2 linked regions of the Drosophila melanogaster genome follow. Changing the gene in region 2 together with the main gene of any one other region gives a genetic interaction. Each region holds a gene or a part of one and is shown on either strand. Other genes may lie near its edges.

What was found.
Region 1: of tra (region 2) and fru, changing one suppresses a phenotype caused by changing the other (phenotypic suppression), as found in Drosophila melanogaster (one study listed by BioGRID).

Annotation. Positions count from the first base shown.
Region 1 is NT_033777.3:18,542,536-18,547,309, forward strand, and holds the start of fru (fruitless), read right to left. Parts: upstream 3,052-4,774; 5' UTR 2,578-3,051; intron 1-2,577. UniProt on the Drosophila melanogaster protein: Probably acts as a transcriptional regulator.
Region 2 is NT_037436.4:16,589,559-16,592,674, reverse strand, and holds tra (transformer), read left to right. Parts: upstream 1-1,624; 5' UTR 1,625-1,631; coding exon 1,632-1,671; intron 1,672-1,744; coding exon of another isoform or gene 1,745-1,815; exon of another isoform or gene 1,816-1,919; coding exon 1,920-2,323; intron 2,324-2,380; coding exon 2,381-2,530; 3' UTR 2,531-2,616; downstream 2,617-3,116. Other genes in the region: spd-2 (spindle defective 2), read left to right, coding at 1-1,271; l(3)73Ah (lethal (3) 73Ah), read right to left, coding at 2,901-3,026. UniProt on the Drosophila melanogaster protein: Member of the regulatory pathway controlling female somatic sexual differentiation, regulated by Sxl. Activates dsx female-specific splicing by promoting the formation of a splicing enhancer complex which consists of tra, tra2 and sr proteins.

The DNA.
Region 1 (4,774 bases), on a different chromosome or scaffold from region 2:
CTTGTCATCCGTTACAGACCGCCCTTTGGCCCCAAGCCACCCCCCCCCCTTTTACTTCCACCCATATTTTACCCATATTTTCCCGTGCTTCCCCCGACTTTTCCCACCTCCCAACTTGTTGGACTTTTGTAACGGTTCTGGCACTGGCTGTTCATCAGGCTGCAGTCGCAGCAGTTCGGCTTACACACAATTTACAAAATAACCTCAATCCACCCACTCAATCTCGCATTCCCGCGCCCCGCTGGAAAACTGCGTCCCTGCCTCGCAGGGGCCCTTCACTCAGTCACTCAGTCAGCCGACTGGGAGAGTGTGTAAATTGTCTTGTGTAAATATGCAAATTTTTCTTATTTTCATACCCTGAAAGGGAGTCGCACTGCTGCAACAAGAACTTTACAAGCCTCTCAGGAAAATGCAGCCGCACTAGTACTGTTTTATGAAGTAAAACTAGTAACTTTGGTAAGCACTTTTTTGTAAGTGCTATTCAGAATATGCTCAACTGTATAGGAGTTGTATTAAACAAATGCGACTTTAAAAATATTTAAAGAGTTTATTCAGCATTTCCTTCAAGCAATTTTTTTCTACGAAGGAAATCCTTTGAGATGTATCTATTTATCTAATGAAATTTAAAATATAATTTTGCCAAATCATTATAAAAATTAATATATATACTCCCGATTTTTTCCTAATCCATTTAGTTTACAAGCTCTAACTTGATTTTCTGTTTCATAATAAGATTAACTGAAATATTATATACTCTTGCATCGTTTGAGTTCACATTTTTTAATTTAAAGTTGATATGGTCTGCTTTTTACTTTATTTTAACTCATATAATAAGAGTAACTTTCTTAAATCATCCTAATTTCTACCGAAATAGATTCCCATCTATTTTTAGGCACTTTTCGTGCAAGGGTATTAAGCGTATCGACTTCCTGGGGTGTATCCTGTCAATCCTGTTTTTATTGTCAACGTTGTTGTTATTGTCTGGAGTGTGGATAGGGATCGGGGGCGCTGTGGGCGGGGCGCTGGCAGTTCGTGTAAACAAACCAAGGCGTCGGATTAAAAAGTTTTGCATTACAAAGAGTTTTCGGTGGACGGACGATGGGGACGGAAGCTTGGGAAAATGTTTTGATTATTTAACTGCAAGTTACGATAAAACTAATTGCAATTACAAGCGGACTCTTTCCCTTTATGGCCCCTAATGAAATTGGCAATGCCAAGGCTGACGATTCAGCACAACTCAAATCAAACTCGGACGCAAACTTCGCACTGCAATTTTATTGGCCCGGTTCAATTTGAATGGTTTGCTTTCTTTGTTGGCCTCTGCATAAATTTTCCTCGGGCAATATTGATTTCCATTACAAATCCAATATTAAACTATGCCCCTGAGAGCGATTACTCGATTCCTACCGTTTTGCTTACTTACTTAAACCTTTTGTAACTCAACGAAATTGAGGACATGGCCAGGACACGGCCAGGATGCACCCGGCCCACAGATTTGTAGTTATTACAAAGGATCATTAAGAGCGTAGATATATTTTCCCTTTAGACTTGTCATTTAATCTCTGGAAATATTTACTACACATTCCTACCTCATAATTTGTCAAAATATTTTTGGGTGCCTTTAAAAACCAAATTTATGTTGGCCGGGGGAGATGTAAGAGTACTCAAATATATTATTGAATATAAATTGGTAACACGGATTAGCCAGTTTGCAATTGGCCTTGGTCTGCTGAACTTCTGAATAAACTGAATCAAATGCAGATGAAGTAAACTGATATTTGCTAATAAAATATAAGAAACTGAAATTTGAATTGTGCTCAGCCAACTTTAGGTTTTGTTGTAATTTAATTTGCTAGTTAAAAGTTTTCGAAGATTTTGTTGTTATAACTGAACCGAATGTTTCTTAGCAGTATAGTATTCTTGCAAAACACCTCAATGTGGTTTAGAAAAATAATTTATTGTAATTTAATTTAGGTATATCTTAATTCTGTCAGTAGATTCTATGATTTAATTTTCTAAAAATTCTTTGTAATTATTAAAGGTAAATAAGGACCATATATTTGTCTGACCTGTTATTAATTATTTTATACATCTGTACTGATGTGAATGGATGAATATTTTTTAAATGTGTTAACGTAGTGAATTTTCTTGCAGTACCATAGATATTAACTGCTTGGATACTCACTCAAATATTTTAATATATTTATTTTATATTAAAACTTGGAAACCCCAACGTTTTCGAACCTATCTAACATTTTTAAATATAAAACCTAATTGATAAACACGTACTTCATAATAGATAGCACATAGTGAGAATGCACTTTAAATATTTTTAGAACCCACATTATAAAATTTTCAAAAGACTTAGTTAAAATAAATATTTATACAAAGAAAATGAGCAAACAAATGTTTTTTTTTTAATATTGGTTTTGTACCTGTGCCCTTAACGTATTCCACAAAACCACTTAATACAATTTGAACAACATAAAATCTGCTCTCAGAAGAGCATATCACCTGCACTTTAAGTAACTTTACATAGGAATACCTGGCTCTTGTTGGCCGGGAACACAGACTCACCTGCTTTTATTTGACCTTATGCGGCTGCAACTTGTTGACTTTAATGAAAATGCACTCAGCAGAGGCTGACTGGCACACACAAAACGCTGGCACAACAAGTTAATATGTATTAGCTAGTCGCTAGTATGTCTGTAGTATCTTGGCTTAAAACGGCACTCGGTGAGACACCAACAGAAAAAAAAAGGACAAACAAAATCGGGCGGCACTCGCACACTCAAACGTACGCACACAGTTGCAAAACAAGTCAAGCGCGAAAGGACCGACTAAAACATGGCTAACATGTTTGGCTAATTGGCGTTTCTAGCGCCGATTTTTACAGCGCTCTAGCATTTATGTAAGCGGAATGTAAAACGCTTTACAGGACTTCAAAGTCTGGATTGGATTGGATTTGAATTGGAATGTTGTGGCAGGTCGTTCGGTATGTCGGCTGCTGATTTCCTTCGAAGGGATTGTGTGAGCTGTGCGTCCTTGCTGAAGGAGCCGCCGCGTCCAACTGACTGCTGCTGGATGTGCAAGCTGCGATTGTTGCAACGACTCTGCTGTCGCAGCACCAACGAAACGCAGCAGCAGCAGGCGCAGCACGGCGACAGCAGCAGCGTCAAAGGCAAAAGCAGCAGCAACACATAAACGCAGTACATGGTGGGTTCGGTGGAATACATATACATGCTCGTTGCTGCCGAAGTCCTTGCAGTCGAAGGGTTGTGTAGTTGCACTTGTAGTTGCTCGTGTTGCAACACACACAGCAGCAGCAGCAGCAGCAGCAACAGCAGCAACACGACATCAACTTCGGCCCACATTGTGCAATTGGCTTAGTTCCCAGTCAACAACTGGCCGCCTTTACAGTGCCCGTTTACAGCGAAGAGAAATGCTCTCGATATCCTTGGCTGCTTTCTCTCCGAGGATTTTCTCGAACAGCTGTTCGCGCTTGCCGGCTCTTATCAGTGAAATGGTAACAGCTCCTGTTAGCGTGCAAATGCACTTTTCTTTTCTTGGCTTTCCGCAGTGGCATTTCTTTTCGTTTCCTTCCTCTTCCTTGCCTTACTTTCATTTCCGTTCCTTTCGGTGGGGTTTGATTTATTATGTAAAAGTACAAGGACACTGCCACATACAGTGGGTACTCAATTAACTAGCTTTAGAAAACGAAAATATATATATTTTTAAAAAGGCAATGTTTACTTTAAGTAAATATTAATTGAATATAATATGATTTCAATACGAATAGCAAACATAAGTAGGCAACTTAACGTTAATAATTGATGAGTAGGGAAAACTAACAAACAATTTATCAAAAATGTATTAAATATATGCTTTCGCTACGATCCCGATTACAGGGTGTACACTGTACCTGCGGAGCTGCGTGTGCGTGCCAAGTGTTGGACAAACAAGCTGAGCACTAAAGCCGGAATACATTTGAGACTCTTGCAATCGACTTAATACGCCGCTAGAAGGGGGCACGATACGGCCTCATTGCCCCTACGGGAATGACAACCAATATGAAAATGGATTACCACAAAATGCAAATTGCGAAATGGCCAATTGATACCAGCGTCTAGCCACCTAATCGTCCGATTAAACCACCTTAAAATCGCAAAGCAGCCAGGCATTAATTACACGAAGTAAATACACCGACTCGGTTTACTCGGCAATGATAAAATCTATTATTAGAGAGGCCGAGTGGAAAGTTTTCCACCAACCAAGCCAACCAACGTTTGCTGTTGCCAACCGGCGTTGTTAGCAGAGCGCTGCTAAAGGACCTCTGTTAACTGGGCCGGCACGTGTTTCTCTCTCGCACGCACACAGCGAAGCGGATTTTTTGATTCTGTTTTGATTAATAGCTTCGTTGCAAGCTTATCAAGCGCCCACACACACACACACACACACACACACAAGCGCGCGGCCAGGAAGTGCAACAATGTCACGTGGCCGGCATTTGCCGAAGTCTCCTCTCGCCAGGACTCGCGCTCGCTCTCATTTCGAGTTGCCCCCATTTTCTCTCTCTGTAAGGCCTGCGCTGTTTACAGCAGTTAACTTTTTTCCAACGCCCTGCAATCGAACATGTTGCAACTATCCGTCTCTTTTGCGCATTTCCCCAGCCCATCGCAACAACAACAATAAACGAAAATAAACAAAAACAAATATAGCACGAGCAGCAAAAAATCGAGTATTACATAAGTCGGTGCTCCACCTACGCGAATTG
Region 2 (3,116 bases):
TTAAGAACACAGCGGACAAACGGCTGGTCATTCGGCTTGGCATCCAGGGACCCGGATTCCAGCTGGTGGGCACCGACAGCAGCACGATCACACTCCAAGCCATGGAATGCCGCTCGGTAGTGATCAACTTTTGCCCCACTGTCTGTGGAGCGGCCATCGGAGCCTTGTCTTTCTATGCACCACCAGGAGCGCATAACAGCAACCAGCCGGGCCTAGAGATTCCGTTGTACGGCTACGGGGGCAGTGCGTCCATCACCATAAACGGTCTGCTAAAGGGACCGGTGGGCGCCAGTTTCCTTACCATCGGCGATGTATGCGAGCTGTCCGCTGGTCCGCTTTCGGCGAATCTCAAGTTTCACAACAAGGGCCCTCTCACCGCTTTCGTTGGTATATCAGTGGACTCCACCGTGCTCATGAAACTGCGCCTCAGCGAGGCCTTCGAGGTACGTCCGAGCCGCTTGATATTGCCGCCAAATAGCGAGCGCTGCGTGCAGATACTTTTCCGACCGAATCGTGAGGACTTGAAGAACATACTTAAGAAGACCGCACAGGTGTTGACCCTGGCCAATATGCGGATTTTCTGCGGAGACGAGCCCAACAGACAGCGTATGCGTAGCTTGGTCCAAAGGATGAGCAGCCGACAGCGAGAGAAACTCACATCGCCGATGCTGGACAGCATTTGGGGCGAATTTCCGGACGAGCAGCCAGTGCGCAACATCGGTCAGCTGAACGAACCGCCAGAGTTTATTCTGGACTTGGTCACAGTAGTGCGGATTATTGATGTTGCGCTTACCCTCAATCGGGACTTTGATGAATCGTCTGAGAGTTCCCTGATGTTCCTGCCGGAGGCCGACGAAACCGTGCTATTCCGCACCATATGTGTGGCCAATTCGCCGACGCCAACGCAGAGCCATCTATTGGAGCCAGTGGATGAGCTATTGGAGGCGGACACCACAACGTTGACGCCCGTCGAGCAAAACTGGTGTGTGCAGCCAGGTTTGCTGGAATTCGGAGTGGGCTGTTCGCCACTGGCCACTTTGTCCGTAACCAACAGCTTCTGCTCCAGGCAGCTCATCGAGGTCACATGCAATGTGCCCGATTTGGTGCGAATCAGTCCCAGTGAGTGCTACGTATCCCCGGATGGCGGCCACGCGGAGATCGATGTGCGCCTGCTCCGCTCACCCAGGCAGGATTTGCTCGAAAGGGAGCCGCTCATTGTGGTCTCCATGGAAAACGAGCGCATCAGTGTCCCGATTAGTTTTAAATTTTAAAATTTGTTTTATTTGTGCCTGCTAATTCTGCTTTCCCTATGTTTGTGTAGTTAGTTTAAACAAAAATTGTATTGTGTACTTGTGAAATGAAACCGTGTTTGCAGAGTATTTGTAAGGAAAACGCATAACCCTAAAGTTAAAATACTCGCTTGTTTCCTAAAAGTTGAATTTAGCTTAAATAAAAACTAATAAAGTATATGAGTTAATTTTAAATTTTGATATGTTGCTCTCGAATATTCAAAAAGTAACGTATATGTAGCGATAGTTCGTCGAAAAGTGAGTTGGCGGGCACATTGCAAGGTGCAAGCCGAGTACGGTCACACTGAGGAAAGTGCATCATTTAATTTCCAGCATTTTCCGATGAAAATGGATGCCGACAGCAGTGGAACCCAGCATCGAGGTACCCACTATATAGTATAACCGATCTGATCAGATTCTGATCCAGTGCCATCTTTTTGTTGTTTTTTTTCTAGTGTCATATTGTGTGAAATGTGAAATGGATGAGAATGAACGCTGGACGACCAGACAGAGAAAGAGAAGCTAGGACAATAGGACTCTCAACTGCGCATTACGTGGATTCCGTCTCCGACGATGCGCCAAACACTATGCGTTAGATGCATTGACTAACCGCACACTCTTTTCACATAGATTCCCGTGGCTCAAGGTCTCGATCCCGGCGAGAAAGAGAATACCATGGGCGATCAAGCGAGAGGGACAGCAGAAAGAAGGAGCACAAGATTCCGTACTTTGCAGACGAGGTTCGAGAACAGGATCGGTTGAGAAGATTGCGCCAAAGAGCGCACCAATCCACCAGACGCACTCGCTCCAGATCCAGATCACAGTCGTCCATCAGAGAGAGCAGGCACAGAAGGCATCGCCAGCGCTCTAGGAGCCGCAATCGCAACCGAAGTCGCAGCAGTGAACGAAAACGCCGTCAACATAGCCGAAGTCGCAGCAGTGAACGAAGACGCCGTCAACGGAGCCCGCATCGGTATAATCCTCCGCCAAAGATCATCAACTACTATGTGCAAGTGCCACCACAGGATTTCTACGTTAGTAGTTATTTGTATTGAAACAAATAACAAATCTAACTTAAATCGATTTTGCAGGGGATGTCTGGTATGCAGCAAAGTTTTGGATACCAAAGGCTACCACGTCCTCCGCCGTTTCCACCGGCCCCCTACAGATACCGCCAGCGACCGCCGTTCATTGGAGTTCCGCGATTTGGCTACAGAAACGCGGGGCGTCCCCCATATTGAACATACTCCATTCGACATAATTACAAATTTATTTACATTCGTGTGTTTTGTACATTAAAATAATAAATACATATATATTTCAAACTAAAAATGGAGAACATAAAATATTGCAAACGGAGAACGTTGATTAAATCATGAGCAAATGCAGCAAAGAAGGCGGCAAAAAAAGGGTCACACGAGTTAGGAAGTGGAAGTTACTTAATTCTAGGAGGGATAACCATATATTTACGACTTTATACATGCACATTTACACATACACTCATGGTTTCGAGGGGACTAACACTAGCGACTCTCCTAATTACGATATTTACGCATTGTCAATAAATTATAAAAATAGATCATTTGTTGTGGCATTATACTAAAACAGTGGTTAGAGCTCGACCCGCGGACGAAACTGCAGCCGAAGCGGCGGATCCCGGAAGCGCCAGCGCGTCACGTAGACGAACTTCAGCGTGTGATCCTTGCCGAGCAGCTCCTCGTTGCACAGTATGTCGATCTGAAAGATAAGATACGTAGTTATCATATAAGTATGTGCCATGTATACAAGTAACTAAGCCAGTCTGAGCTTTCACTGAGAGCAGTTACT